4 linked regions of the Pelodiscus sinensis genome follow. The protein of the gene in region 3 interacts with the protein of the main gene of each other region in a pairwise test. Links are inferred from orthologs where the notes say so. Each region holds a gene or a part of one and is shown on either strand. Other genes may lie near its edges. The genes, in order: ARID5A, UBXN6, DAZAP2 and ROR2.

The links.
Region 1: the proteins of DAZAP2 (region 3) and ARID5A interact in binary tests that used the Homo sapiens proteins (3 or more experiments, as listed by UniProt). The two-hybrid records come from large-scale screens. The link is inferred for Pelodiscus sinensis from reciprocal best matches to the Homo sapiens genes DAZAP2 and ARID5A.
Region 2: the proteins of DAZAP2 (region 3) and UBXN6 interact in binary tests that used the Homo sapiens proteins (3 or more experiments, as listed by UniProt). The link is inferred for Pelodiscus sinensis from reciprocal best matches to the Homo sapiens genes DAZAP2 and UBXN6.
Region 4: the proteins of DAZAP2 (region 3) and ROR2 interact in binary tests that used the Homo sapiens proteins (3 or more experiments, as listed by UniProt). The two-hybrid records come from large-scale screens. The link is inferred for Pelodiscus sinensis from reciprocal best matches to the Homo sapiens genes DAZAP2 and ROR2.

What each region holds. Positions count from the first base shown.
Region 1 is NC_134738.1:5,953,898-5,961,474, reverse strand, and holds the start of ARID5A (AT-rich interactive domain-containing protein 5A), read left to right. Parts: upstream 1-4,162; 5' UTR 4,163-4,316; coding exon 4,317-4,320; intron 4,321-5,172; exon of another isoform or gene 5,173-7,577. UniProt on the Homo sapiens protein: DNA-binding protein that may regulate transcription and act as a repressor by binding to AT-rich stretches in the promoter region of target genes.
Region 2 is NC_134729.1:22,545,927-22,553,515, forward strand, and holds the start of UBXN6 (UBX domain-containing protein 6), read right to left. Parts: upstream 3,449-7,589; 5' UTR 3,374-3,448; coding exon 3,291-3,373; intron 1-3,290. UniProt on the Homo sapiens protein: May negatively regulate the ATPase activity of VCP, an ATP-driven segregase that associates with different cofactors to control a wide variety of cellular processes.
Region 3 is NC_134729.1:2,041,701-2,050,223, forward strand, and holds the start of DAZAP2 (DAZ-associated protein 2), read right to left. Parts: upstream 3,106-8,523; 5' UTR 2,993-3,105; coding exon 2,980-2,992; intron 143-2,979; coding exon 21-142; intron 1-20. UniProt on the Homo sapiens protein: In unstressed cells, promotes SIAH1-mediated polyubiquitination and degradation of the serine/threonine-protein kinase HIPK2, probably by acting as a loading factor that potentiates complex formation between HIPK2 and ubiquitin ligase SIAH1.
Region 4 is NC_134716.1:49,024,938-49,032,825, forward strand, and holds the start of ROR2 (tyrosine-protein kinase transmembrane receptor ROR2), read right to left. Parts: upstream 3,058-7,888; 5' UTR 2,718-3,057; coding exon 2,609-2,717; intron 1,943-2,608; exon of another isoform or gene 1,435-1,942; coding exon of another isoform or gene 1,410-1,434; intron 400-1,409; exon of another isoform or gene 270-399; intron 1-269. UniProt on the Homo sapiens protein: Tyrosine-protein kinase receptor which may be involved in the early formation of the chondrocytes. It seems to be required for cartilage and growth plate development. Phosphorylates YWHAB, leading to induction of osteogenesis and bone formation.

The sequences.
Region 1 (7,577 bases), on a different chromosome or scaffold from region 3:
TGATATTTTACTGAAAGTGCCTTCTGTGCCAATCAGAGCTAGAGATTCAGTAATTTTCTAGCTTGCAACCCCACATGGCTAAATGGTTAACTCTATGTGGCCACATATCCAGTCCTGGGCTTTTCTAGGGTCTGGACTTCACTCATCCTCTTTCTCTGTCTAAATGTAGTGCCCAATCCCACAAAGTACTGGCTGCCTTAAAACCCAGTAATAACAATAGCAATTAAGGTCACACAGCAGGACTGAATTAATAATAAATGGTGGATCCATATAATAAATTGCAGAACCATTATGCTCAGGTGCACTGCCTCACATGAATAATGTGGCCAATCTCAGTCCAACAAAACCTACATCCCACATTACTTATGATATACTATTTAGGTCATCTAGGGACCAGATGTAGAGTAGCATTGAGCTGACACCTCTCCTATAAGCATCATTGGGAGCTTCAAGTGTGTAGCACCACCGAAAATCACACCCCATCTCTTTGGCTCTGTTGCTGTTTCTTGTTCTGTATCTATCTTATCATTTATCTGGGGGATTATTGTAGGAAAGTTTCTTGGAAGGGGTTATTTGAACCAAGAGAAGGAAGTCATAAAAAGCACAAATTACTCACTGTTCCTTATACCACAGCCCTTCCTGTACTGCCCCCTCTCTCTGATCAGTTACAACAATATGTAGTAGAATATTTTTCCAGCCTCCTCCTCCTCTCCTGTGTGCTATTGCACTAAGAGGAGTACAACTCCAGTTTCCTGTTTTTTTCACAGTAATAATCAAAAGAAAGGAAATAACACAACCCTTAAGCTTTTTTCAATAACAGTAACATGACACTAAACAAAATGTGTGAGACATTACAATCATAGCTGGAATGTCCCCAGTCCCCCACCCCGCTTTACCCCTTATCAAAACCTCTTCCAGTTTATTCCTGATTGTGACCCTTCCCTTCACCAGCCTCCACACTTCAAACCTGTGGCTGGCATAAGCAAAGCAGCAATCCCTCTTAGTAGAGACTCAGTTTATACTGGCAAAAAAAAACATCTTGGTGGCATAGTGTATACCAGTTACCTAAGCAAAACATGCTTCAATGCTATAAAACACTTTTTGCCAGTGTAACTGACTATACTAGAGCTTTTGATGGCACAGCAATGTCATGAAAACCCAAATAGTTCTACTGGCAAAACTTTGAAATGGACTAGCCTCTCACCTAGCTACATCATTATGGCTTAGATTTTTTGTATTCTTCAATGCTTTTTTTTTTTTTTTTTTTTTTTTTTTACTGCAGCTACTAGCATTTGAAGGCAATAAGGCCTCTCTGGTGAATTAGTATATTCTTTCAAAATAGAAATTATGGAAGTAATTCAAGATTACTGCAAAACTCCAAAACATTATAGGGTATTTTTGCAATGCTATATCACAGGCTCCAGCAATAAGACCCTCTAGCCCAGGGGTCGGCAACTTTTTCAAACCAAAGAGACAAACTACCTCAAAATTCAGAACTAGTGGTCAACAAAGAGCTGTATAAGAATGCCCATTTTCATGACTGAAAATATACAACTTAATATTATTGATAATTGACATGATGATTAATAACAAATGAAATATTGTACTCCGACTTTTATTTAATGGGACTTCTGCTGCTGCATCTTTTCGCACGTTTCTTTGAAGTTTACATCATCACTGGTGAAATTCAGGGTCATGCATAATTCAAGTTACATGAATAATTATGTGTTCTTAAAATTTTGAATTAATTTTTTATTTTAATTTTAAAAGTTGCATGTATTTTGGGAATGAGAGAAGAGCCATATTTGGTTACATACCGAGCCATATTTGGCTTGAGAGGCATAGGTTGCAGACCCCTGTCCTAGCCCCTCCACTGGCTGTGCCATTTGGCTTAATGGATCTTTTCAACAATTCAGTTTGTCTCCATCCACTGAACCCTTACTTTAAATCTTCCAGTTTTTCAGGGCTAAGTGCTCCTCACTAGTTGCCATTTGAGTGTATAATTCAAAAGCTGGCATTAAATCCCATTCCCCACTGCTGTATATCACTATTTTTATTTTAAATAAAGTCATCTCCACAAGGTATCAGAAGCCAGAGAGAAAAGATCAAATTTATTTACAGAATGTAACACTACCAATGGGCTAGACACACATGGACACAGAAAATGGAGACAGGCTTGAATAGCAACTACCAATGAATATTTGAACCAATATTTCAGAATGGACAGAAATATCAAGCTAAAATAATGCTACATTTTAAACATAGCCATGTCTCAAGGGGATAAACTGAAGGAACTCATTGAAGTCGGTGCACCGGCACTTGTATTGACTTCACTTGTATTGGGCTTTAAAGGAACAGTTCTAAAAAGCCTCTGGTTTTGTAACTGTCTTTAAAACTAGAAATACTGTCCACAGTCTCAACTACTAGCCATGCTCTGGTAGGGACAACTGAGTTTTTGTACTCAGCTCTTCCCTTCAGGCACTGAGTGAGGCTGGGATTTCATTTCTCCAACTAAAGCCACATATTAGCTGGCTTCCGCTTTCTACTACAGATACATCAGGCATATATCCCTGGCTAGTAGGTATGCCGTCAAGGTAACAGTGTCCAGCATGTCCCCACGAAATCGCACAGGTCAGTTTCTCTTTCTCTGAAGTGCGGAACACAGAAGTGCATCTTAGGAGCAGTGTGCTCGGGCTCCCCCCTTGCCTGCGCCTGGTTCACACGCACGTGCCCGGGTTAGCCAGCGCTCCCTTCCCGGACGCGGCTCACGCGTGTGTGCGGGGTGCCTGGCTCACACAGGGGTGCGGGCTCGTCTCTTCCCGGCATCTGGGTCATAGTTGTGTGCGGGTCAGCCCCCCCCCGCACCCGGCTCCCCCCCGGGTCAGCCCGCCGGCCCCCCCCCGCACCCGGCTCCCCCCCGGGTCAGCCCGCCGGCCCCCCCCCGCACCCGGCTCCCCCCCAGGGTCAGCCCGCCGGCCCCCCCCGCACCCGGCTCCCCCCCGGGTCAGCCCGCCGGCCCCCCCCCGCACCCGGCTCCCCCCCGGGTCAGCCCGCCGGCCTCCCCTCCCCGCACCCGGCTCCCCCCCGGGTCAGCCCGCCGGCCTCCCCTCCCCGCACCCGGCTCCCCCCCGGGTCAGCCCGCCGCCCCCCCCCCCGCACCCGGCTCCCCCCCGGGTCAGCCCGCCGCCCCCCCCCCCGCACCCGGCTCCCCCCCGGGTCAGCCCGCCGCCCCCCCCCCCCGCACCCGGCTCCCCCCCGGGTCAGCCCGCCGCCCCCCCCCCCGCACCCGGCTCCCCCCCGGGTCAGCCCGCCGGCCCCCCCCCGCACCCGGCTCCCCCCCGGGTCAGCCCGCCGGCCCCCCCCCGCACCCGGCTCCCCCCCGGGTCAGCCCGCCGCCCCCCCCCCCCGCTCCCGGTTCCCCCCCGGGTCAGCCCGCCGCCCCCCCCCCGCTCCCGGTTCCCCCCCGGGTCAGCCCGCCGCCCCCCCCCGCTCCCGGCTCCCCCCCGGGTCAGCCCGCCGGCTCCCCCCCCCGCACCCGGCTCCCCCAGGGTCAGCCCGCCGGCTCCCCCCCCCGCACCCGGCTCCCCCCCGGGTCAGCCCGCCGGCCCCCCCCCCGCACCCGGCTCCCCCCCGGGTCAGCCCGCCGGCTCCCCCCCCGCACCCGGCTCCCCCCCGGGTCAGCCCGCCGGCCCCCCCCCCGCACCCGGCTCCCCCCCGGGTCAGCCCGCCGGCCCCCCCCCCGCACCCGGCTCCCCCCCGGGTCAGCCCGCCGGCCCCCCCCCGCACCCGGCTCCCCCCCGGGTCAGCCCGCCGGCTCCCCCCCCCGCACCCGGCTCCCCCCCGGGTCAGCCCGCCGGCCCCCCCCCGCACCCGGCTCCCCCCCGGGTCAGCCCGCCGGCTCCCCCCCCCGCACCCGGCTCCCCCCCGGGTCAGCCCGTTCGCCTCCGGGAGTGGCCTGGGCCCGGCCGGCGCGGGAGGGGGGGAGCGGGGCAGCCCCGCAGCTGGCCCGGCCGGGGTCCTGCTCCCTCAGGCGTGGGGGGAGGGGCGAGCCGCGCGCAGCGGGCGGGCGATCGGCGGGAAGGGAGGGGGGGCGGCTCTCTCGCGAACTACAAATCCCAAGGGCCCGCGCGGCGCGGGGCGGGCGCGCTGAACTGACGGCGCCCTTGTCCAATCAGCCGCTGAGCGCCGCCCAATGGGCGCGCGGGGCGGGGCGGGGACAGAGTTGCTGCTTCTCAGCCCGGACACTCCGGAGTCTCGCATGGGCCGGGCGGCGGCGCGGGGGCCGGGCGGGCGCTGAGGCCGCGGCGCTGCGGGCGATGGGTAAGAACCAGCCTTGCCTGGGCTGGGTCGGCAGCGCGTCCCCAGCCGGGAAGCGCGGGGAGGAGGGGAGTTGGGGGGGAGTTGGACTGAGGGGGGGGAGTTGGGGACTGGGGCTGGCGGGGGGGGGAGTTGGACTGAGGGGGGGGAGTTGGGGACTGGGGCTGGCGGGGGGGGAGTTGGGGGGCCGGGGCTGGCGGGGGGGGAGTTGGACTGAGGGGGGGGGAGTTGGGGACTGGGGCTGGCGGGGGGGGGGAGTTGGACTGAGGGGGGGGAGTTGGGGACTGGGGCTGGCGGGGGGGGGAGTTGGACTGAGGGGGGGGAGTTGGGGACTGGGGCTGGCGGGGGGGGGAGTTGGACTGAGGGGGGGGAGTTGGGGACTGGGGCTGGCGGGGGGGGGGAGTTGGACTGAGGGGGGGGAGTTGGGGACTGGGGCGGGCGGGGGGGGAGTTGGACTGAGGGGGGGGAGTTGGGGGGACGGGGGCTGGCGGGGGGGGGAGTTGGACTGAGGGGGGGGGAGTTGGGGGGACGGGGGCTGGCGGGGGGGGAGTTGGACTGAGGGGGGGGGAGTTGGGGGGACGGGGGCTGGCGGGGGGGGAGTTGGACTGAGGGGGGGGAGTTGGGGGGACGGGGGCTGGCGGGGGGGGGAGTTGGACTGAGGGGGGGGGGAGTTGGGGATGGGGGCTGGCGGGGGGGAGTTGGACTGAGGTGGGGGGGAGTTGGGGACGGGGTCTGGCAGTGGGGGGATGGGGCTGGGAGCAGGGGAGAGGGTTGGGGTGAGGTGGGAGGCCAGGACTGGCAGCAGGGGAGTGGGTTGGGGGTAGGGGGAGGAGTTGGAGTGGGAAATGGGGCTGGCAGCAGGAGGCGGGTGCCGTGCCCCATTTGAGGACAGGGAAGTCAGCTTTGGATTCTGGTTACGGTCAAACCTCCGGCGCACTCCCGAGCCCCTGTCCTGCAGCTGGGTTTGGGCTCAGAGAGAGCAGGGGTGCACTTGCTCCCTAGCAGCCCCTTGGAGATGGGAGCCGCAGCTGCCCAGCCCGGTTCGCAGGCTGGTCCCAGAGCCCGGCCGTTAGGCTGCAGATTCTTCAGAAGCAATGAGGAGGGAGGGGGAGTTTTTTCCTTGTCTCAAAAGTTTCTAGCTGCAAGGGGCTTCCCAGTAATTTTTATCTCAAAATGCACTTTTCTTTCTAGTTGGTAAATTTCAGTGCTGTGTTGGGTTCTGGCTTCCCACTTCCTGTTGTGGTTTGTAATCTTTAGCTGTTCTCAGCTAATTTGTTGTGACAGCTGTCAGCAACAGCTTTTTTTTTTCTTTGGTTCCCAGAAGAATCTGGCTGTTTTTCCCCTTCCCCGTCATGGCCTCCAAAGGGTTAAGCTGAGGTATTGTACAGTGTGTACGCAGAATTCTGGTTCCATTGTACGCTGTCATTTCCCGAAAGTGGCTTACTCTTGTGCTTTGAAGATGCTAACGGCCCCTCCTTCCAAGTCAAGAAATGGTTTGACCTTTTCAAGAACACTTTTCAGCTACTACAGCCATGTAGAAGAATGAAACTATTCCCATTTGCCCCATGCTCACGCAAGCACATACATACACACACGTACCAGGGTAGTGTGAACAAGATAAATGTTTAGTAGTGGGGGCAGGGGGAGGGGAGAAGTGACTCTGGAAATTGCAGTTTACTGCTGAGAAGTACAAACATCTACTCTCAGTAGATTTTTCCAAAATACCAGAGGACCTGGCTGTTCCAGATTAGGTTGGAGCTGTTTTTCCTTGGATATTTAGTAAATTGCATTTGTCCACAGTGCATTCTCCTGTTTTCTATGCATTGGAATATGTATGAGATTGAGCATCCCCCTCTCCTCTTAAGTAAGGTTTAGATGAGCTCATGGGTCATTGTCCTCTCTCATTTCTGATTTGTTAGCAAGGTTGGGTGGCCTTTGTTTTAAGATTTTCTTTTTGTGGCAGGGTAATCTCTAGGGTGAAGCCTGGAGAGCAGACTTTTATTTCTTGCTCTGGCCTTGGGTGACTCCTTGCCTCATTCTGTGCCTCAGTTTCCCCACATGTAAAATGGTGTTTTTGGTACTGCTCCATTTTATATGATATGTCGACATCAATCCACTAATGATAGCAGAATAAAGAACTGAGTTGAAGCAGCATGCCCTGCTCTCCTCTCTGGACTGGTGAGAAGAGGGTGATTGGAGCCCCAAATTGTGCAGAAGGGCAGCCCCAAAACAGGCACTTTGCCATACCAGTAAAACTGCAAAGCAAGGCCCAGCATGCAGCTGCCTTGGAAAAAAACAGGTGCTTTGCAGTGCTGCAACCCAGATAAGATGCATCCCAACTGGCATGAAACAAAGAACAGTGTAATTACTGTATCTTCTGGAAAGGGGGAAGGGAGGCAACAACTGCTGAGGTCTGCCTTGGAAGAATGAAGCGGGAGCTGCAAAACTCTGCAGAGCAGAGAGGCAGATTCCTACATGTGGTGTGAGCCAAGCTGTGTTCTCACTCCACCACATGCAACCCCCACAAACCTTGGTCCATCCAGTATAACTGTTAGGAAAACTCTAATTAATGGCATTTTGCTTGCTTTGTAATTAACAAACGCCTGCACTTGTCTCCTTTGTTTGTTGGGAGTTGTGCTCTTGTGTCAGTGAGTGTTCAGGTGTCTGTCCCTTTGTCTCCCTGCCTGTTCTCTGTGCCATGCTGATGAGCTGAGGCAGTTTGGAGGGGACAGACTCTTAGCCTTCCTTCCTCCCCCACAGTGGCTCCTGCCATAAGCCGGGTAAAAGACTCAAGCTGTTCTCTGCTGTTTCCCAAAGTTGTCATCATGTCCAGTAATCCTCTCAGAAGCCGGGCTTGTCTTGGCTGCCTTGCGTGGTGATCTCATGCCCAGAGAACATTAAACCGGCCAGTTTTCTCTCCCCTTTGTACAGTATGTGAAAGCGTTTTATGAGCTCGCTGACCCCGTGGGGCTGAGAATGACACACAGCAAACACGAACTGGAGTAGGCTGAGGGGTTGAGCTTTGGGAACAAATCAGCACTTGTTGTTGTTCAAAAGGCTCAGGAAGGAGAGGTGGATATTTCAGCAGCATCAGGAGACAGACTGATGTGACCTGGTTCTGATCCATCAGCTCTGGTTCCCATCTGCCTCCCTCCCCCCCCCCCCAGCTTGGAAAAGGGGGTTGTTGGAGTAGTCGGTGACCTCAGCCCGGCAGATGTTGCTCGCAGGAGCTGTGGCACCGGCAACAGTGCAGAGTAGGA
Region 2 (7,589 bases), about 21 Mb from region 3:
CTTCTTACTCTGACTCCTGGTAACCTTCATTTCACAAGGGGTACGGGAAGGCAAAGAAAGAGTGTTCTTCCTTTGACTTCCTGCTGTGTAGACAGCACCAAAAGCTGAATTAAGCTATTTTGACTTAAGAACATAAGAATGGCCATACTGGGTCAGACCAAGGGTCCATCTAGCCCAGTATCCTGTCTGCCGACAGTGGCCAATACCAGTTGTCCCAGAGGAAGGGAACACAACAGGTAATCCTCACACGATCCCTCTCCTGTCACCCATTTCCAGACAACCAGCAGCTAGGGACACCATTCTCAACCTCTATGATGTAGCTCCAACTGACGTAGCTGAAGTAGTGTAGCTTAATTCAACTTTAGCCCTGCTGTGTAGGCATACCCTGAGAGATGGACCCATTTTTCCAAGATACTCTTCCTCCATAAGAACAAGAAGGCCGTTGTGTATCAAAGGCTTATACGCAACATGCAAGCAGGAAAGTCCTGAAGACTGCACCCACTACAAAACATGGATACATTTAGGAATGGAGAATGTGTGCTGCTAGCAGAAAACAGAATTTAATGTTTCCAGCTGCTCTGCAAAACATCCACCCTCACCAGAGTATAATTTCAAAGAGCACTACACAGAACAGCACCAAGAACAGGCTTGATCGGGAAGCAACTGTAGATGCTCAGTGACATCATAGCTTTATAAGGTCACAAAAAAACCTGATGCCCTTGCTAGGTAGCATTACTGCTCAGTGACCGTGAAGCAGTTTGTCAAGCCTGTGCGCCCAAAGTTTGGAGCAATAAATACAACTGGATTCATAGGATCATAGAGCTGGAAGAGACCTCAGGAGGTCTTCAAGTCCAGCCCCCTGCCCAAGACAGGACCAATCACAACTTTCATTGTCCCTGAAAGCCACAGAAAATTGGATTCAATAGATGATCTCAACTACAAATCTCTTGCAACTTTTAAGAAATATTGTTATTGAAAAGTTCTGTTATTAAACTAATGTTTTAGCAGTTTCCTTCAGGATTTAGGATGGAACTGGGGACTCTGGCCTTCTTTGAGTGTGTATTTGAATAGTGCAGCAGGGCTGAGATCAAGCATATGAAATTCACATAGAAACTAAACAAATAATATAGAAAGTGAGAATACATAGTGCAACACTGACTAGGTCAGGTCACCGAACAGTTAAATTCCAGTCTAGATGCACTTTCACCATTACTAATCCATGTATTGGCCTAATGTCTTAAACTTATTTTGAAACATTTACTGAACCTGAAAACATGACCTAGTTCATCAATATTGTTTTGTAGCCCAGACAGACCTTGTGACAGTAAGCCTATAAACTGCTTCATTCTGATTGCACCTTTGCTTTCTACAGGCAAGGGGTTTGTCTTCAAGGAAATTTTACCAGCCACTGTCACCTGAACCAGTGGAGTTTGGGATTCCAAGAATTTATATAATACAAAGCAATCCTTTTCATCTTTGATTGTTCTCAACATATTAGGCCTTAAAACAGTCAACACCACACACCCTTGTGATTTTAATTCCCAGTATGGTTATTCTACGTTCACTCAGCTGCCATATTTCATAAACAGCTGCAGGACAATGATATTCAGGAAGGTGACTATCCCACAACATGGTGAGGTTCTGTATTTGTCTTAACTGCCTCCAATCCTGTTCCTTTACAAGTCAAATGATTTTTCGATTAGCATCATTTCCCCAAACTTACTTTGGTATCTGAAAATCAGCCACAAGAATAGCAATTCTGTGGTCAGATGTGGACCCAGTGCAGCTTCAGGGAACAATCAGCTCTTGGCTTGGCAGGAGCTGGTACAGCAAACAGGAGTAAAAGCCTGTTTGTGCCAAAAGAGTCAGGAGCTCTGACTCAGATACCTGAATCAGGTAAACACTTCTTCAGAGCTACAGTATTTTTTTTTCTATTTAGTGGAAGTGTGTTTTTGAGTCTAAAGCTAAAAGTGATACAAGGAAAATAAAGTTGTTCCTCTGGTGGTGTATGCTGTACCCTACTGCAAAAGTCCTCAGTCCTCCAAACCTACAGTAGGCCTGGTCTGCAGCGCCTAGCGCAGAGGATCCCAGAGCTTGACACATTTTGGAGGAGTAGAGCAAGAGGGAACCAAGGAAGCTCCTGGGAAAGCAATGAGGAGTCCTATGGCACCTTACAGACTAACAGATTTATTGGAGCAAAAGCTTTCATGGGCTTTCGTCAGATGCATGTAGTAGAAATTCCAGAGGCAGGTATAAATATACAGGCATAAGAAAAGAGTACCAATCAAGAGTAAGGCTAGAGAGAAAGAGGTAAATTCAGTCAGAAAGGATGAGGCCCACTTCTAGCAGCTGATGTGGAGGTGTGAAGACCAAGAGAGGAGAAACTGCTTTTGTACTTGGCTAGCCATGCACAGTCAATTGGGAAAAGGGGATGAAGACTGGGGATGCAGATTACAGAAAAATCCACTGAATTGGTTAACTGGTTAAACAGGATACCACAAAGGGTCGGATAGTTTAGAGTCACCAGGATACAACCTGGGTGGAAGTAAATGTGGGTGCCGAACCTGGGTGTGGGGGAGAGAAGCTGGGAGAGAAAGGAACAGCACAAGTGGGGAAGGAGCAGAGATCTGAACTTGAGTCTGAAGAAGTGGAGTGGGGGGATAAGAGATGGGGAAGCGGGGAGAAGGGAACAGCCGGGGCGGGGGGAGGGGTCGTCTGAAAAAAAAAAAAAAACAACCTCAGGAATGAGAAGAGCCAACAGCGTAAGCGGTTTGGGGGCTAAGAGAACCGAACTCGGGCGGAGGGGAGATGAGAAGAGGGTCCAGCCCAGGCAGCTGGGATCTGAACCCAGGTCCCAGGAGGAACAGACCAGCCAGCAGGGAGCTGGGACCCGAACCCGTCTCACGTGTCCCCCCCGTGCAGCCCAGGCCCCACGCCACAGACTCTGTTACTCGACCGCAGCCTTGGGCAGGGGTTAATGGCAGAAAGGCGGTTTGGGATCCAGAAGCGGAGAAGCACCACGGAGGAGATGGGAGTCCTGGGGCTGGATCCCTCGTTGCCACCAACAGCATCACCCAGCCCAACTCACAGTGGAGCAGGCACCTCCCCCCACCACCCACCCAACGCTCCCCCCCCACTCCTCCCCCCCCACCACCCACCCAACGCTCCCCCCCCTCACTCCTCCCCCCCCACCACCCACCCAACGCTCCCCCCCCTCACTCCTCCCCCCCACCACCCACCCAACGCTCCCCCCCTCACTCCTCCCCCCCCAGCCGCCCCTCCCCCACTACCTGGGCTGCTCCGCCAGCTTTTGGCCCGGCCCCGCGGTTTTGAATTTCATGTCCGCTTTGATGTCCTGGAAGAATTTCCGCATGATGGCGGCGGCGCGGGGGGGGAGGGGGGCGGGGAGAGACGGGCCGGCCCCGCACAACAAAACACCTGCGGAGCCCCCTTCCTCTCAGCCACCGGAAACAGGAAGCCCCGCCTCCCGCTGCGGGCACGTGACTTACCGAGCGGCCATCGGCCTCTTGGAACGGGCGGGAAGCGGCGGGGGGCGGGGCCAGAGCCTGGCGCCTGCGCCCTTCAGGCACCTCACGCGCCTCCTTGTGTGACGAGCCCGGCAGGGGCGCTCTAGGCCTCCCCCCCGCCTCTCTATGGTGCGTGAGGTCCGCCAAGCGCCAGCGGCGGGTCTGACCTCGCTTTACCTCGAGCACTGGCCCTGCCCCTCCCCCACCCCTCCCCCCAGCCTCAGCGCCGCACGTGCCTCTCCCCCCCATTGCTCTTCCTATCCCCTCCCCCATTCCTTCCCTCCCACCCCTCCCCCCAGCCCCACATGTGTGTCCCCCCCTTCTTCCTATACCAGGCCCCCGACCCTTCCCCCAACCTTAGCGCCACACGTGCCCAGCCTTTGCCCCCAGCTGGGGTGACCAGCTTGGGGGGGGGGGATACAGGGACAGGACAGGTGAGGGACACTGCTGCGTTTGAAGGGGCATTTCGGGGAACCCCCTCTTGGTGTAGCCTGCCGTCTATTTCAGCCATGTCCATTTCTGGTCCCCTCCTGGATACAGTGCAATGCTCACAGGCTTCAACCTTCCTGCCTAAAACTCAAAGACTTCTTCTTATTTAATATATTTCAGTGCATCTTAAAAGAAGGGAACGGTGACCAGGAATGGTCCCTTACAGCAGCGATTTTCAGCCAGGGTTCCGCAGACCGAGGGGGGTCTGCAGCCTCAGCTAAGATTTGCAAAGGGTAAGGCTGAGAGCCACGGCCTTAAGGAATGGGAGGGCATACTCATGACCAACCTACCCCCAGCACCACACTGCATTCCCCCTGACCCCAGCCCCCCAAACCCAAGCCTTCATACATTGTGCTTCTCCTGCCTTCACACTGGCACCCACTGCCCCCTTTTGGCACTCAGCTCCCCACACCATGTACCCCCACAACCCTTTGCCTACCTACAGCCCTCCCCCACCACTGTCTACCCCCTACTTTCACACCCAGCTCTCTTCACCTTTTCTCCTGGTTCCCCCTGCTGTCCCATTATTACAGCAACCTTTACTCACATGAGCAGCCTCATTAGCATTGTTCGCACAATGGCACTAAAGTTACTCATGTGTCTCAATGACCATCTTAGCTGGCCTACCAGGAACATCCAGAGCTAAAAGCACAAGCTGCCACAACTTGAAGTAAAGAGCCAAGACTGTAGCCAGAGGCTATAAGCAGCTTATATCCTCAGCACAGGAGAATCTGTAACACACATTCACTCACCATATGATTGCAGGGTCAGGACCCTAGATCATCAGGTAACATCTGAACAGGGTCCTTTGTCATTTAATTTGCTCTGCAAAGCTCCTAACTTGCTTTTAGATGCTATTCTAGTCTACTTTATGCAGGTTCTTGATTCACTCTTCCCCCCCATCACCTCAGTATTTCAGTGCCTTCCAGTCATGCATTAAGCAACATGATTAACATCTGAGGTTTTCTTTCACTCATCCTTTCTCAGGGAGGGCATTGCTATGTAAATATATTTTAAGTCAAGGGTGTGGATGTTTTCATTGTGTAAATCCATGCTCCTCACTGCCACATTCAGCTAGTTTAGACAAGTTGTCACTGAAGGCTGTAGATGCACTTACAAGCTTTGGCACAGCTTAGAACCCCTCCCACCAACACAGCATTGAGCACATTAGCACTTGTGCCAGCAAGACTCATACACACTGACTCCATGGGTCCACCAGGGCTGTAGAAAAATTAACAGGTGCTCAGCACCCACCGCCAAACTCCCTTCTCATCTCTCCTCTGCCTTCCCCTTCCCCCAAGCCTCTTGCTTGCTGGCTGCCCCACTGATCAAGTGCCCCCCTCCCTCCAAACACCTCTCACCCACTGTTTCCCAGCATGCAGGAGGCGCTGAGAGGAAGGGGAAGGAACAGGGATGGGATGCACTTGAAGGAGGGGACCAAATGAGAGAGAGTAGAGCAGGGGGAGGGTTGCAAGAGGAGAGGAGGCAGTGCCTTGGGGAAAAGGAAGGGTAGGGGTAGAGTAGATAGTGGTCCCCAACCTTTTGGGGCTGACGGGCACTGGGGCCAGTGCTGCTCCTGTGTTGCATGCCCAGGGCTGGGGCTGCCCATATGCCACGCACCCGGGGCCAGCGCCGCTCCTGTGCTGCATGCCCAGAGGCGGGGACGCCCAGGGGCGGGGACACCCATACGCTGCGCACCTAGGGGCGGCACAGCCCTTGCGCCGTGCACCCGGGGGCGGGGATGCCCATATGCTGCATGCCCAGGGGCCAGCACCGCCCATGTGCCACACGCCCGGGGGCAGGGCCGGCCCTGATCACTCAGCGGGCACACAGAAATGGCCCAGCGGGCGCCATGGCACCTGCGGGCACCACGTTGGGGACCACTGGAGTAGAAGATCATTCCCCCCTCAGCTAGAAGAGAATTTGGTACCTATGGCAAAACTTATGTCACTTAAGGTCCTGTTTTTTTCACAAATCGGAATGACAAACATTTTATGGTCATAAATGCTAATTTAGATATGACTTAAGTCATACACACACATGCTTGTTTTTGTTGACACCTCATGTCAACTTTCAACAGCTTTCATATGGCTATTTAATTTGGCTTGCTGTTTCTAAGAGCTTCATGTAAAAATCACACCAGTTTAACTAAAATTAGTTTTAAAATCAATTTAGTTAAATTAGTGCAAACTTCTGCGTGGATCTTCTTGAAGCTGCTTAATCCTGACCTGCATCAATTTATCTTAAATCAACTTGGCATCAACCTTAGCTAAAGCAGAACAAACTAGTTTTAAAAATTTCACACTGGTTTAAACTAAATAGATTTAAAAATATACCTTTAAATAAACTAGTGCAACTTTGTGTGTAGACAAGGCCCAATTTCTGTCAGTGCTTTCTATTCCTTTTGCAGCATTACACAATGAAAGACAGATTTACAAAGACATGTTCTACTACTGTACTTCGTAATTAAAAGGAAACTGTTAAGTACAAAACAGATAGGACTAGATTCTACTCTTGGTTCCATTAATATAAACTTAACTGGCTTCAGTGGAGTAACTCTGAGTTTATATCAGTATAACTGTGCAGAACCTGTAAAAGAAGGAAATTCCCTTATAGGCATTTTAATGCCATTATCTGGGTATATTAAAACTGGAAAGGACAAATTCAGTCTTGGTTACATTATTGTAACTTCCCTTTGAAAGTTGTGTTGTCACTAAGGCCACATCTACACTATATAGCCCTATTATCACTATAACTAAGTCTGTCAAGAATGTGGAAAAAGCCACAGGAGCTGACATGAGAAACATTCCTGTTGGCTTAGGGCCATCTTCATTCAAGTGCTACAGTGGCATGGCAGTAGGGCCATCCCAAGGGAGTGTGGAGCCTAGGGCAACCCCCACCCCAGGCTTGCCCCGATTCCAGCTCTTCCTGCCTCTGCTTCTGCTCCGCAGCTTGTGTGCTCAGACCCTTACGCTACTTTCCACTGAAGTCAACTGAAACCTTTCAACAATTTCAATAGGTGCAAGATTCAGCCCACAGACCCTGATTCAGGAAAGCATCTCTACAAGGCCTGAATGATAGAAGTGCTGAGTTTGTCTGCTGCTGGGCCTGAGTCCTCCTAAACCGGAGGCCCCCAAAGCATGAGACCTGGGGCAACCTCCCCAAACCATCCAGTGGACAGCACGGGCTCTGCATGCCTCACTGGTGCCGTCATGCTGCTGTAGCACCATATGTGAAGACAAGCCCTGAGTGCCAGAATCTGTCCCAATCAATATTTAAAATAGTTTACAAATGCTTTTTTTTCACTCTATTCAGCTTGTGCTTGGAAAATAAATTACTTAGTTTCACTTTCTGGTTCTCATGTATTAGTCCGATGCCATTATATTTGGGTTGCAGACATGGCAGAGGAATATTCAAATCCAAACCTTGCCAAAATGATTATTTTGAGCGGTGTGATTAATTTCTATAATTAAGTTTTGTAGCGGCTTATTGACAGTGTTGTAACGCTTGTAGATCCTGTGTTTCGATTCACTAGCTTTTTGTTTTGTTTCACTTTAAGTATTAACTATTGTT
Region 3 (8,523 bases):
AGACAGGACATACGGCATACCTCAGAGTAAGCAGGAGGTGCATCGGTATATGGTGGTGCCTGAGGAAGAGGCATGGTCTGTGGGTACACAGAAGGATTACCAGGAGGTTGCACTGGGTAGGATGGCTGCGTCGGATATTGACCTAAGAGGCAGAAGAGAATTTGGCCAGCGTTAACGGAGCTGCCATTATGGAAATGGGACAGAAGATGAGCTGATGGAAAGCCCCCTCCTTTATAGATCCTTGATAGATTCATTGAAATTGCCTCTTGTTATGTACAAATATTGGCTGAGTGCACAAGAAGGAAGGTACAAAATAAAGTCCACTCGGTACGCGTAGTCTGATTGGAACTAAAAGCAAAAACTAATTTCTGTACTGTTAAAATCCTTTAAAAGAACTAGGCCACTATGAAAAACAAACACCTTCATGTGCAGAGCTGCTGACAAACCACCCTATTTAGAATTAGGCATTTCTCTGCTCAGACTTGCAAGTCACAAAGTTTTGACTCTGTGCCACAGAACTACGCCAACTACTGGGACATCAACAATACTAGACCCTTTATCATTTGAAGTTCTTGATAGGCTGTCACACGTGCTATTTTCAAAGAGCATATGTTAATGAACTTAATGTTTTACAACTTAACATGGTTAATCTGTGTACCGAGAGAGAGAGAGAACAAAAGGGATATCATAGATTGCAGCAAGAAATAAATATAGTCCCCCAAATAAGAGCAGATCTTTTCCCTAACCCAAGCTCTCCCCCACACACACACACACACTATTCTTTCTTACCCATTTATTAATTTATGCAAAAGATTACATTGCATTAAAATGGCATGCATCTTAACGCATCAAGAATAAGTAACTGTAGGGTGATAGAAATGTAGCCGTTAGTCTGGTGTAGCTGAAACAGAAAACAGGACTATGTAGCACTTTAAAGACTAACAAGATGGTTTATTAGGTGATGAGCTTTTGTGGGCCAGATACAATTTTAATTGTATCCTTTGGTATATATGGTTGTGACAATTTTCTTCCACTATTTGATCTGAGGAAGTGGGTCTGGCCCGTGAAAGCTCATCACCTAATAAACCATCTTGTTAGTCTTTAAAGTGATACATAGTCCTGTTTTTTGTTTTAACTGTATGGTAGCATTGCTCTTCAAGTCAAGGCCAATAAGAAGCCCTGCTTAACATCTTGGTAAAATTCTGAAGTGATCTATTAATCCTTACTGCAGCTGGCTCTACAGTCAGTTTCTCTCATCAGGCCACTATCGTGTTTAAAATAAATAATTTCTATGTGTTTTTTCAGCTGCTCTGAACATAGCCAGCAATAGCAAGGAGGCGTTGCTTTAATGTGTCACCATCCAGGAGGTGATGCTTTCATGTGTCACTGTCAGGTCAAAGCTGTGTTCTTGTAAAGCTCTACCAAACCAAAGGCCAATATCAATGTTTCTATGATCAGTACAGATTCAAAACACAGCCTTGAACAAAAAAAAGGAGTGGAGGGGAACACAGTGATCTTGCAGGGTAAACTTGAATTCTAGTCATGCTTTTATAAGAGGCTCATTGCCATGAACATGAGAGCACCCAAAACTAGAGGGAGCCACTGCCCCGAGGAAAATTAAGAGAAAAGAAGCAGCTTTGCTGATCGCAAGTGACCAAGATTCCTGAAGTGATTAAAAGATCTTAATACCTCTCGAAAGGCCGGCAGCTCATACTACCCAAGGCAAATAATAAACACAATCAACGGGAGTTGTACAAATGTGTATTAACCCCTCAAGCACAGCTCCTCAATGTCACAGACCCCACCACTACCCTGATGGCCTCCTCCACGACTATCACTCCCCTCTCCAAGGTGCTGCTGGGGCATAGCGCAATCCTGCAGACAGAGCAGCTCTCTTACGGGAAACAGGCGAGGGAGAGACCCCGTGACACAGTTTAGGGATTCTCAGCAAATCCAGGTTCACGCACTGAACGGCTGCATTAACTGTTACGTACAAGCCTCCCAAGAATGCCTGGGGCTCCCTGTTTCTTCAAGGCAACAAGGAGTCACCACCCTCACCCTCTTGCCCCACCATTCCCTTGTGCCCTTCTAGCTGCCTTATCGTGACCCATGACAACAGTCTCCTGCAGCTACACGCGCTGCTACAAGCATCCCCCCTTCCCCCCAAAAACCCACCCCCACCTGCAGAACTACTGCCCCCAAGGAGCTGACTCCTCCCCTATGCAGTGACCCCTTCCCCTGCCTCCCCCATAGGGATGACCCCTCCACGCACCCCTTCCCCTCCTCCCTGTGAAGTTGACCCCTTATTCCATGGGGCTGACCCCTCTCCCACGGCACAGACCCCTTCCTCACACCCCACCCCTGTCTCCCCCAAGAGGCTAACCCCTCACCATAGGGCTGAGCCCTCCCCCCCCACAAGGCTGCCCCCCCTCCCCCAAGAGGCTGACCCCTTGCTATGGGGCTGACCCCTCGCCCTTCCCCCCCCCAAGGCTGACCCCTTGCTATGGGGCTGACCCCTCGCCCTTCCCCCCCCAAGGCTGACCCCCTGCTATGGGGCTGACCCCTCGCCCTTCCCCCCCCAAGGCTGACCCCTTGCTATGGGGCTGACCCCTCGCCCCTCCCCCCCCAAGGCTGACCCCTTGCTATGGGGCTGACCCCTCGCCCTTCCCCCCCCCCAAGGCTGACCCCTTGCTATGGGGCTGACCCCTCGCCCCTCCCCCCCCAAGGCTGACCCCTTGCTATGGGGCTGACCCCTCCCCCCCCACAAGGCTGACCCCTTGCTATGGGGCTGACCCCTCCCCCCCAAGGCTGACCCCTCCCTATGGGGCTGACCCCTCCCCCCCCACAAGGCTGACCCCTCGCTACGGGGCTGACCCCTCCCCCACAAGGCTGACCCCTCGCTACGGGGCTGACCCCTTCCCCCCCCCCCCCACAAGGCTGACCCCTCGCTACGGGGCTGACCCCTCCCCCCCCTCTTGCCTTTTCCGTTCATGGCTCGCTCGGGCGGTGGCTCCGCTCGCTCCGCGCACTTCCTTGTTATTGTCACTGCGGCGCTGCGACGGGTGGGGGGAGGGGCGGCCGACGTCGGCGTGTGCGCGGCGTCCTGACGTCACGGCGCGAGGGGAGAGGTCATGGGGGCGTGGCCTACGCGGGCGAGCGGGGTTGCGTAATGCTCGCCCCGCCCCCCCCGTTCCAAACGGCGAGTCCCGCCCCCACCTGGGGAGCGGGCTGCTTGTCCCGGGCCTGGAGGGGGAGGGGGAGCGGGGGGGCTGCTTGTCCCGGGCCGGGGGGGGAGGGGGAGCGGGGGGGCTGCTTGTCCCGGGCCTGGAGGGGAGGGGGAGCGGGGGGGGCTGCTTGTCCCGGGCCGGGGGGGGAGGGGGAGCGGGGGGGGGCTGCTTGTCCCGGGCCTGGAGGGGAGGGGGAGCGGGGGGGGCTGCTTGTCCCGGGCCTGGGGGGGAGGGGGAGCGGGGGGGCTGCTTGTCCCGGGCCTGGAGGGGAGGGGGAGCGGGGGGGGCTGCTTGTCCCGGGCCTGGAGGGGAGGGGGAGCGGGGGGGGCTGCTTGTCCCGGGCCTGGGGGGGAGGGGGAGCGGGGGGGCTGCTTGTCCCGGGCCTGGAGGGGAGGGGGAGCGGGGGGGGCTGCTTGTCCCGGGCCTGGAGGGGAGGGGGAGCGGGGGCTGCTTGTCCCGGGCCTGGAGGGGAGGGGGAGCGGGGGGGGCTGCTTGTCCCGGGCCGGGGGGGGAGGGGGAGCGGGGGGGCTGCTTGTCCCGGGCCTGGAGGGGAGGGAGAGCGGGGGGGCTGCTTGTCCCGGGCCTGGGGGGGAGGGGGAGCGGGGGGGCTGCTTGTCCCGGGCCTGGAGGGGAGGGAGAGCGGGGGGGGCTGCTTGTCCCGGGCCTGGGGGGGAGGGGGAGCGGGGGGGCTGCTTGTCCCGGGCCTGGGGGGGAGGGGGAGCGGGGGGGCTGCTTGTCCCGGGCCTGGGGGGGAGGGGGAGCGGGGGGGGCTGCTTGTCCCGGGCCTGGAGGGGAGGGAGAGCGGGGGGGGCTGCTTGTCCCGGGCCTGGGGGGGAGGGGGAGCGGGGGGGCTGCTTGTCCCGGGCCTGGAGGGGAGGGAGAGCGGGGGGGGCTGCTTGTCCCGGGCCTGGAGGGGAGGGAGAGCGGGGGGCTGCTTGTCCCGGGCCTGGGGGGGAGGGGGAGCGGGGGGGCTGCTTGTCCCGGGCCTGGAGGGGAGGGAGAGCGGGGGGGGCTGCTTGTCCCGGGCCTGGGGGGGAGGGGGAGCGGGGGGGCTGCTTGTCCCGGGCCTGGGGGGCAGGGGGAGCGGGGGGGGCTGCTTGTCCCGGGCCTGGGGGGGAGGGGGAGCGGGGGGGGCTGCTTGTCCCGGGCCTGGGGGGGAGGGGGAGCGGGGGGGCTGCTTGTCCCGGGCCTGGGGGAGGGGGGAGCGGGGGGGGCTGCTTGTCCCGGGCCTGGGGGGGGGAGGGGGAGCGGGGGGGGGCTGCTTGTCCCGGGCCTGGAGGGGAGGGGGAGCGGGGGGGGCTGCTTGTCCCGGGCCTGGAGGGGAGGGGGAGCGGGGGGGGGCTGCTTGTCCCGGGCCTGGAGGGGAGGGGGAGCGGGGGGGGGCTGCTTGTCCCGGGCCTGGAGGGGAGGGGGAGCGGGGGGGGCTGCTTGTCCCGGGCCTGGAGGGGAGGGGGAGCGGGGGGGGGCTGCTTGTCCCGGGCCTGGAGGGGAGGGGGAGCGGGGGGGGGCTGCTTGTCCCGGGCCTGGAGGGGAGGGGGAGCGGGGGGGGCTGCTTGTCCCGGGCCTGGAGGGGAGGGGCAGCGGGGGGCTGCTTTGGCTGCGCTGCGTTTCCCTGACAGGTATTGGTTTGGGGGGGGAGCCACCTCTCCTTCCAGCCAAGGAGACCAGACGCTCTTCCTTCTCCCTCTGTGAGCACCAACATGCGGGTAGATGTTTGATAACAGAGGGCTCTTTAATCAAGCAGACAAAAGCATAACGAGCGCCCCTGGCTAGAAACTGAAACTGGGCCTCTTCAGGCCACCAGTAAAGCACACACATGAAACAGGGTAATTTACCATTGGAGTAACTTCCCAAAGGAAGTCACAGCGGGGTAGCTGTGTTAGTCTGTAACTTTAAAAGCAACAGCTGTCCTGTGGCATCTTAGAGACTAAGAAAAATATACAGTATCATAAGCTTTTTGTGGGTGAAACCCACTTCCTCAGATGAGCTGGAGTGGCAATAACAGAATCGAAGATATATATAACAGCAAAAGAAGCACCGGTCAATTGTAGGACCTGGGTTAATTAAGCTAATTAAGTGGGCTGCCTGTGTCCCATTTATATCTTTTGATGTGACAATGGGGATGTTAAAGGCAGGGGAGATGGGCTTTCTAGTGCATTAATCATGTTTTTATTCAAGCCCAGGCTAACAATGTCATATTTGTAGATGAATTCCAGTTCTACAGTGTCTCTCTGTAATTGGCTGGTGCAATTTCTTTGTAGAATAATGGCTATTTTTAAATCCATGATTGAGTGACCAGATAGGTTAAAATGTTCCCCTACAGGTTATTGTGTGTTACCATTGCTGATGTCTGATTTGTGTGGAGGCAGATTCTCCATCTCTTGAAGTCTTTCAAGACAGGATGACTTTAAAAATAGACTGTAGCTCAGCCACTAGATACAGGCTTGTTGCAAGACTCACTGACTAATGCTCTCTCAAGTAGCAAAGAGCTGTAAACAGTCAGTTGAGCTAACTTGGGGGGGGGGATCCATGTAATCTTCCTTTTTTGTTTTTTCTCCCTTCTGAATCGGACATAGAAAAGGCAAGCGTTTCTAAGTTCATACATAAAAGATCAATGGAAATAGCTGATAACCTCCAAATATTTTTACATTTAATTAAGCCTTAAGGCGAGTTAAATTTCACCAAGCAGTGGATTGTGTTCATTAGCACCAGCTAATGCTTTATTAGTTATTTTGGCCCGAGCTTTAGGATATGTTAGTTATTTTAAAACATATCCTCTTTGGTGTTAAAACAGGAAGTTGGTGTCTGTACTATTCCCCAGACTCCTGTTTCATACCCTCATGGGACTCGCTCAGGAATGGTGACCCCACCTCGTGCATGCCCCTTCTTTACAAGGTGATTGCGGAACCAAGGGCTGGAACCAGCTTGCGTCCATGTGATCTCACACGGGCAAATTCAAGATAATTAATTATTGGAACAACTCGCGTAGAGACAGGGTAGTTTCTACATCCTTTGCCGTTTTTGTCAAGATTGGATGTCTTGCTCAGTGATCTGCTATTGCTAAAACAGAATGAATGAGCCTGATGCAGAAATTCTTGGGTAAGGTTCTTTGCCCTGAGGAGTTCAGACTGGATTATCAAAATGCTTCTTTCTGGCTTTACAGTCGATGGAATCCAGAGTGGTTTTGAGAGTAAGTATCCCATGTAAGCCATGGGTTAGGCAAGTGGCTAGTCAAAATGTCCATTTGATGGAATTTGTTCATTTATTCTTTTAAAAACAACAAGGAATTATGGTACCTTAAAGATTAACCGATTTATTTGGGCATAAGCTTCCATAGGTCAAAACCAATTTGTCTGCTGCAGGGAGTAGTAATCACAGAGGTAGGAATATATAATTCTAGCATATAAAAAGGGGAGTTACTTTACGGCTGTGTCTAGACTGGCAAGTTTTTCCGGAAAATCATCTGCTTTTCCGGAAAAACTTGCCAACTGTCTACACTGGCCGCTTGAATTTCCAGAAAAGCACTGACGATCTCATGTAAAATCATCAGTGCTTTTCCGGAAAAACTATGCTGCTCCCGTTTGGGCAAATGTCTTTTTCCAAAAGACTTTTGCGCAAAAGGGCCAGAGTAGACAGCATAGTACTGTTTTCCGCAAAAAAGCCCCGATCGCGAAAAAGGCGATCTGGGCTTTTTTGCGGAAAACCGCGTCTAGATTGGCCACGGACGCTTTTCTGCAAAAAGTGCTTTTGTGGAAAAGCACCCTGCCAATCTAGACGTGCTTTTCCAAAAATGCTTTTAACGGAAAAGTTTTCCGTTAAAAGCATTTTCAGAAATTCATGCCAGTGTAGACGTAGCCTCCAAGTGGAGGACCACTGTTATCAAGGCCAGTTCAGTCCCACTATGTTTTCCAGGTACAGACTAACGTGGCTATTCCTCTGACATTTATTCTTTGTAACTTGTCCATATGGCATCTCGCACAGTGGGGAGCTGTAATATAAATAATAAACAATCAAATGATTCAGAAGAGAACAGTTCCTTTCAAATGGTCCCAGATAACTACAGCTGTTTCATAAGGCAGTCGCTTGCAACCAGGGGTGCATGTACCACTGGGGGTATGTAGAGGTCTTCCAGGGGATTCATCAGCTCATCTAGATATTTGCCTATTTGCATAAAAAGCCCCAGAAAAGTCTGTACAAACTAAAATTTCATAAATGACTTGTTTATACTGCTGTATCTACTACAGACTGAAATACGAGTACAATATTTATATTATGTTCCAATTGATGTATAAATAGAAGGTAAAAATTAGAAGCTATTTTTCAGTAACAGTGTGGCTCTTGTACTTGGATTTTTATGACTGATATTGGAAGCAAGTAGTTTTTAAGTGAGGGGAAGCTTGCGGGTTTGCAAGACTTCTGAAAGGGATAGAGTGGTCTGGAAAGACAGACAGCCACTGAGAGACCTCCAGTTTGGTTTTGTTATACAGGTGGTCCCTGAGTTACGAATGCGTCGACTTACAACCGTTCGTACTTATGACCAACCTCCCATTGAGTACATTACAGCTGGAACCCGAGGTACGAATGCGCGATCTGCGCTTACGAACAGCACGGTCACATTTAAATTAATGGAGTCCGACTTACGAACAGATTGAGTTGTGACCAAGTGTTTGGTACGTAACTCGTTCGTAAGTCGGGGACTATCTGTAGTCATACTGAAGAACTGCAACCTGCCAGGATAGGTGGACTCTCAATATCAAATATTCAGTCAGTTCTTATCTCTTCTCCCAGACTGTTTTGTCTATAGCAACGATGGGCAACTGAGGCTAGTGACTGGGCTGCGTGAGCGGCCCTCCTTCATGTCAGTGGGCCGCAAGATTGTCAGAACCAAGACGGTCTCCTGTGATGGGGCAGTTTTGCTCACAGTGCTCGCGTAGCTAGAATTTGTGGGATGTGCCGATGGAACCATAGTGATACTTTGATTGGCTGCCGAGGGAGCGCACGGCTCTCACAGTCAGTATTATGTGTGATCAGCGCCCACCTCACGTCACTAGCCCTTGCTTTATGTGGGCGTGACTTTAATAATACGGGTAGGGGGGAAAAACCGACGTGTACGAAAACAAGTGGAATCTTGCAATTCTGCGTGTAGGCAACAAGAAACAAAATGTCTTACGGGCCCTATACAGAACTCCGGTGGGCCACAGGTGGTCTATCATTGGTCTATAGCCTTGATTAGGCACTTGTCTGGTTCTCCCAGGAATGTCTCTATGCTTTCTTCTGTGCTGCCTGCCCCTTACAC
Region 4 (7,888 bases), on a different chromosome or scaffold from region 3:
CACCCAACTCCTTGTTGTTTTTGCTGAAACAAACTAACACAGCTACCTCTCTGAAAACTAGTATTGCATTACAATCTCAGAACAAAATTAAGACTGTGTATGCATAGTTTATATCATTTTACAGGGATTCCTTAGTATATTTTGTCTCATTGTTTTTTGTCCCCACAAAAAAGACATTCCAGTACTAACTCCCAGTAGAGACAACTGCTAGTCACAGGAGATGCAGAGAACTTACATCTGAGACTGTTTGTCTGTCTTTGTTTTTGCAGTCAATTATGCATAGCTGTGTCACTAGCAAACGTTATGTGACTACATCCTGGGAATAATCCTTAAGGGATCACCCATCAAAGACATCTGCAGGGGAGGAGGTGGGTTCTTCTGCCAGCACTTGAAGGGAAGGAGTGAAACGGGAATGCAAGATAATCAATGAATATGCAGACTTGGTGAACAGGCAACCAAATGTTTGGAGTATTTTGTGATTTATTTGCTATTTCACTGTCAAAGACCTCAAGCGTTTTACAAGAGGGCAGAAATCATCTCACCAAAATCATATTAAGCAAGTGAGGCACCTTAGGACTTTGCCTAGTGACACTTTGTCGAAAGGGAAGGGAGGGTGGTAGGTGTACTGTCTTGTAGAGAAAACTCTGGAAATCCTGCACACCCGTCATATTGGCCCCTAAAAACAGATCCAGCTGCTTTGAGAAACAAGAAGAAAATGGTGGAGCTGGGGGGATGGTATCTCGCTGGAACGACACCATACACCTAGGGCTCGCCATCTCCACAGCAGAAGCTTTTAAAGGCGGGCACCTAGGGAACATCTGCCACCTTCTAACACTCCGCACTCTAGGGGCTTGTGAAACTACTGCCCCATACACCGAGTCCGTGGCTGCAGCTCCCTGCAGGAAAGCCAGGGCAGCAGTGCAGGGCGCTGCAATTTGTTAGCGCTGCCCCCTGGGCCTTCAAAGGGAGCAATAAAAGCCCCAAGAAAAGAAAGGCAATGGGCACTGATCCCAGAGATGTAACACGCTCTCCTCTTACCTTACCGCCTCCCCCCAAACCCTCCAGCTTTCTTGCCCTCCTCCCCCCCCCCCATGGCTAATTCAGCAAATGGCACGACCGAAGACCCCAGAGCTGACTAACAGGAAATATAGGCATCTGTCACCTCCCGGGGAGAGGTAAATGGATTAGCGAAACCAACAAAGGGAAGAAAAACCCCTTTCAAACAGGCAACTGATTAACAAGTCCCCTCTAATCTGCAGCATCACTGTTGTTCCTTAAAAACACCATCGGGTCCCTCGTGCACGCCGCTGCAATGCAGGGAAAGCCTCCTAAAAAGAGTAGAAGATTCACTAGTCATCGGCCAACCAAGTCCCGTCGCAAAACTGACTCGGGCCAGGCCGGTTACAAACCTGACGTGCAATTGACGAGCGTCATCTCCCCAGGATCGCTAGGCAAAACAACAAAAAAATCAGCTGCAGGGGTCCATTTTCCAGCGAGTGGGTTTGAGCGAGATCAAAGTGTGTCGGGCTGACCCCCGAGGCTCCTGCTCCCCTGCCCACGCCACAGCCTCCCAGGGGAAGGGAAAAGCCAAACCTCTCCCGGTTGTTTCAAGGGGAGGGCCCCGAAGCTGAGCTGAGCGGGAGCGGGCAGGGAACAAACAGCGCAAGGCTGCAGCGTCTTTTCCAGGCACTGTAACTCTGACCCCAGAGCGCTCTATAAACCCCGGCGGCGTGGGCCAAGGGAGATGCCGGGCACACTGGCCGCGTTTCAGCAGCCGCAGCCAGTCCACCACGGCGCGAGGTCAGATGTTAATAGGGCCAGTTTATTCAGCTCTCCAAACAATCGCAGGGCTCGGTGAACCGAGTCCGGTCGTTTCCCGATTCCCCCGGGCTGCCCCCTCGGCTCTCTGCGGCTCAGCCAGGTACGCACAGGAAATGGGACCCTCCAAAAACACACACACAGAAGGAGACTCAATTAAGCCTCCATCAACGCCAAGCATCGCTGCCCTCCGCCCCCCGCCCCGCACTCAACCTTAATCCCCACCCCCACCGAGACGCTGGCAACTCAACAGCCCAAGTAATAACACATTATTATAGCCACTCGGGGCGGGGGGGGGGGGGGGTCTACCCTGGGCTCCCTATCAGGGCTTCTGACTGCAACAACTCTTCCCCGTCCTTTGCCGCCTCCCTCCACCCCCGTCATCCAAAACCAAACAAACTTCCTGCGGGGCACCCACTGCGGCCATATACATGATGCGGCTCAGCTGCAGGAGCAGCTGGTGGGTGAGGAAGAGACGGGCGGTGATGGATCGCGGGAAGAGAAGCTTCAAAAAGCTGATTTCTCATCAACTTCCCCCTCCCTCCAAAAAAACCCGGCAGTGCCCCTGCCTCCACGGGCTTCCAGTGCGCCCCCCACGACAACCACCCCCGATCTTTCAATACGCACAAAACAACCGAGCGGGCTCCGCCAGCCCCGGCGGGGGGCGCTTTGCACAGCTACCCTGCACCCCACGTCCGCCCAGTAGCATCCCGCCAGCCAGCGAATAACGCTCGTGCCCAACCCGCGCCCGGGAGTGGGGAGCACGAAGGTGGCGCCAGAGCCCCCTTACCTGCTGCACAGAGGGGCAGGAGCGAGGAAGCCGCCAGCAGGGCGAGCAGGGAGCTCGCCGCGTCCCGCCGCTGCGCTCGCGCCCCCCGGGCCGCCCCGGTGCGGACCATGCTGCCCGCGGGGCTCCCTCCGCGTCGGCTTCGCTCGGGAGGGAAGGAGGGAGGGAGGCGGGCGGCGCACAAAGAGCCCTTTGTGGTGCGGCCGCTGCCCCGCGCCCAGGGCTTTTCCACGCGGCGCCCGCTGACAGCGCGGGCTGCGTCCGGGCCGGGCCGGGCTTTCACCTCCTCTCTGCAGCGCTCCGCAGCTCCCCCCAGCCAGCGCTCACTGTAACGGGCCGTCCCGCACTGAGCCAGGGGCCCGCCTCGGCGCCGCCGCCTCCTCCCCCGGCATCGCAGCGTCACTGGGGGAAATCTCTCCTCTCACTCCCTCGCGCAGGGCAGGGGGCGTGCAAAGCCCGGGGCTCGCGCGCGGCGAGGCGCAGAGGGCGAGGAAAAGCCCTGCGCTGCTACCCCCTCTGCTGGCAAGCCAGCAAATGCCAGGAGGGTGGAGGAGAGCCGGGCTTCGGGCGCCGTGTGCCAGCTTGGAGGGAAGACGAGGCTCTCGGCTGGGGCTTTTTCCTGCTTAGTGCTGCCTGGGCCGGCTGGATCAGGTGCAGGCCTAGCTGGCTCTGCAGCGATCTAGCCAGGAGTCTGCATTTGCAGGGACTCCCCTTTCAGGTGACAAGAGCCTCTGCGGGAGGAGCTGACTCAAGGGGTACTCGAGAAAAGAGGCTGCGATGCAAGGATGACTGGAGTGGACGGTCGTTTCGGGGCACCAGGCACGTTCAGGCCGTGCCACAAGCGAGTCCCGCAGAGAACAGCTCCAGCATTCTTCGAGATACCGAAGAAGTATTTGGAAAGAAAAAACCCCCGAGAAGGAAGAAACACTACACCGCTTGATGGGCATTGCCCCTCTTTTCCCCCGCAGCAGAGAGAGCAGCCTTTTCACTTCCGTGCAGTGTCAAGTGATCACAAGCCATAACTCTTTCCAACGAAATGTCCAGCCTCGTTAGCTGTATAACACACACGATAAGACGAGAGCGCACCGAGAATGTGATCCTGCCTTGAAAGCACAGTGGATACTCTTTATTTGTAATGTTAAAAGTAAACCTTCTCATTTTACCCCTTAAGGACAGGGAACTATTTCTGTTTGTTCCCTTAGAGCTGCAAGACACGTTAACAGTAAAGAATTAGTCACTGATAAATACCAGGAGCACTAGTTAAACTGTTTTCTTGCTTTCTCAAATTTCTTTATTTCATATGCACAAGGAGACCTTTGAATATTAGTCATTCCCTAATGGTAATGTACAAAGCAAAGGAGTAACTTGTTCATTCAGTGATATAAACTGTAGAGGCCTGGTATATTATTTGCAACTGAAATAGCATTTCTAGATATTACTTAAATAAATCAAGTAAATGTGATGAAGTCTCAGTTATGAGGCTATAAATATATAAGGTCTTACAAATACAGTATTATTGTTCTTTGTTATGGGCATTGTGCGTAAAGGCCTAATGCTTAATAGTGCTGAGCACAGGCAACTCTAACCTGAGTGTACAGTAATTCCTCATTTAACACATAGCTGCTTAATCTGTTTTTGTGATAGCACGATTCTTTTTTAGAGAACGTTTTTTGAATTACACGATCGTCCCCGGAATAACACAATTTCCCCAGCCAGCCCGTTGCCGGCGGCTGCACGGGGCTTCCCCCGCCTCCCTGCAAAGCAGCAGCGAGTTCGCCGCTCGCCATGCCATTCCCCAGCAACCCCCCCCCCCTCGCCGGACGCAGTGCGGGTCCCAGCAGACCCGTAACAGAACATACTCCCAACCCAATCCCCCTCCCCTCTCCTCCTCTTCCCTTTCCCAGAGCCAAACATCTTTCCTCCCTGCTGTAACCCAGTCCCCTTTCTCCCCCAACCTTATGTCCCGGGCCCAACAGACACCACCGCTTGAAATGCAACCCCTACCTTTTCCATTATTTTCAATGGGAAAATTGACCCCACATAACACATTTTCACTTAACATGATCATTTTCTGAAACATATCTATAGTGTTAAATGAGGAATTACTGTACATTTCTCTCAAAAAATATTATTGTGCCCCAAATTTTCTGCTTACCATAAAAAAGACAAGCACATCAACACAGTTCTTTGTATCTTTCTGACCTGTTTTTTGCCTCTAAGATTTCTAGGTCCAAAATTTCTGTGGCACCTCATCATGAAAAAGGAATGAGGCTGGACTAGTCATAGTTTCCTCTCTGATCACTGTTTGGTTAATGCTAACACTATATCATCATTAAGTAAAGAGGCTTTGTTTCAGGAAAGCAGCTAGGCACTTTTCTGAATAGGGATGCTTTCCTGAATTGGGCCCAGTAATGGCAAGACTACATTCATTCAGTTGCCACCTCCAGCAATTCTCAGGAAACTTTTACCATCAAAGGTAACCTATGCAGCCCATATGGCCGAGACAATTTAAGGGACCCTGTCAAGATAAAAAAAAATCATTCTTGAGATTTTCAAAGTAATTTATGTAATTTCCATTAATCAAAAAGAAGATATGTATCCAGATTCTCTAGCCTACTCTGAAAATGTATATTTCTTATAAAAAAAATCTTATTTTAATGTAATTATTATTACAACAATTTTGATTAAATAATATTTAACTATTTAATAATTAATACATGTATTATTAAAATGTATATTATGTTGTCAGGCTATACACCTTGGACAGGAAAAGTAACTACACATAGATACTTTCTAATTAGTGAATTGTACTTTGCTTGTTTGTATGCACTAGCAAGCACCCTTTGCTGGGTGTGGGTTTCCAACAGAACGAGAATAAGATTTTACTACTTTTTGCTCCTGTTTACTTTGTAATGTAGAAATAATACAGTCATGGGAGAATAAGGTTTCCTGTGTTCTTAACAAAACTGTCCACTAAGTTCCATTGTAAAAATATTTTCTTTTCCATGCAAAAATAAATAATTAAAATATAGTTGAAGTAACTATCCTTTCAGTTACTTAAAAGATTCTAAAATTCAGAATTGTGCAGCAACCTTCTTCTTTTCCTGTTCCCCTGCAGGTCTTGCACTAAAGCTCATCTTGCTTGTAACATGGAGACAGATTCTGAAGCCAATCAAGTCACTCTGGTGTAAATTAGATCACAATCTGATTCAAAGACTGTTAGACAAAACAATGTAGGAAAATTTCCTAACTGCATCCTAGCTGAGAGTTATTTACATAGAACCTCTTCCCCTGGGTTTTACTGCAGGAGAAGTTGATTTTTCCACAAACGTGCCAATCTCCTCCCTTCACCCAAGATTACAATTTATAGAATTAGTTACAGTTTCTGTACTGTAGACAACAATTATAGATAATACAGTTACTGAATTTATCAAGAAACAGTCAATGGGGAAAATACATAAGATTCTTGATCTACCGCTAAAGAAAATTGTACCAGTTTACCTAAAAAATGTGTTTTATTAAACCAGTACAAAATACTATGTAGACACTCTTATTTCAGTTTAAACTAGGATTATTTTGGTTTAATTTAAATTTACTAAGATTCAGTTTAAACTAAGCCACTTTTAAACTAAGAATGTTCACATAGGAGGTTGCACTGGTTTAACTAAATCATTTTTAAAATCAGTATAAGTTAAACCAGTCAACCGAAGGCCTATAATAACACTTAAATCCCCTAAATTGTATGCTTATGAGCTTTCTTTTTTATATACACTGTGAAGGAGCAAATCACAATGTTTTGAATGTATAACTGGTTTTTGAACATGTTCCCCTAATAATAAAATAATAACATAAGTAAACAATACTTTGCATTTAATTCGGTGCCTTTCATCTGAGGACCTCAGCATCCTAAAAGTAATTACAATATGGACCTGAAACAAGATCCTGGATCCAAATAAGTCTGAATTTAGTGATTGATCAATTTCTGATGGAAACTTAAAATGAAATATTCCCATTTCACATAGTAAAATTTGGCCAGTTAATGCAACACGCACTTGGATCTCTTTCATAGGCATCTACAACTAGGTTTCTTTGATTCCAAAGACATGGTATCATAATATTCCGCTTATAAGCATGCTTCATATTCAGGGAGAATCAATTGGCAGAGCCAAAACATTAGAAACCACAATATAAATTCCTTCTCTGTGTAGCAAGAAATATGTGCAGCAAGCACAAAATGGTAGACAATTGCACATTTCTTCTGGGTTTGCTCACCCTACTAATTTAAAGCATTAGAGAGTTCACTTGTGTTTTTAGCATATGGTCCCAAACTGTTCTCTTGCTATTTGATGAAGAAAGATCTGCACATGGATTTATTTGCGTGACCAAATGGTTTGAAAATGTGCCTGATAGAAGAAGTTTAAAGCAGTAGTTGGGGCTAGTTGGTACTAATTTGAGAATCTGATAAAAAAATTTACCATGTGACAACCACATACAGTGTTCCCTAGAAGCTGAGCGCTTGGGTGGCCACCCAGGAGAGATTCAAATGCCAACCAGCTGATTAGCTTCACATCCACAGCCTCCTGCAGCCTGTATGGGTTTCTAGTGGTGGTGCACGTCTGTACATACCTCAGTGCACATAACATTTATTCCACATATATGGAAAAACTAGAGGGAACACAGTCCTCATCCCATATTAACTATGTTTTAAGGAGGCTTATGAGCTCTGATGTGGCTAGTGCTTCAGTTCATAAAGTTTCAATGATAAATCAATGCCTGGTTAGGGGCCTGATCTTTATGCTCATGTAATTAGTCCCACTGAGGGCAATGAGACTACTTGCACAGGAAAGAATTGCTTCTCTGTCCCCAGGGCTGCTGAATCAACCCCCAACACTTCATTTGCAGTTTTCATTAAACAGCTGGCAAGTACCTGCCTCATAATTCAACTAAACCAAGGAAGTTTCACTAGAGATGAATTTGGCCCCTCATGCCTAAACACAACCTGCCCCTTCCCCCACTAACCATGTATGACCTCCAAAATAATGGTTCTATTCTTGTAGTTTTATACAATGGCAGTATTATGTACTAATATATTTTAAACATACACCATATACAAAAACAAAACTCTAGTTTTATGTTGAAATTTGCAGAATACTCCACTAGTGGTAGTAAAAACTCAGAAAGATGTGACCTTCTTACTACATTGACAATGGCAATATTTTTGAACTTTACAAACTTCAGCCTAACAAACTATGGGTGAAATTCTTCCCTGTGCAGAGGGTCAGC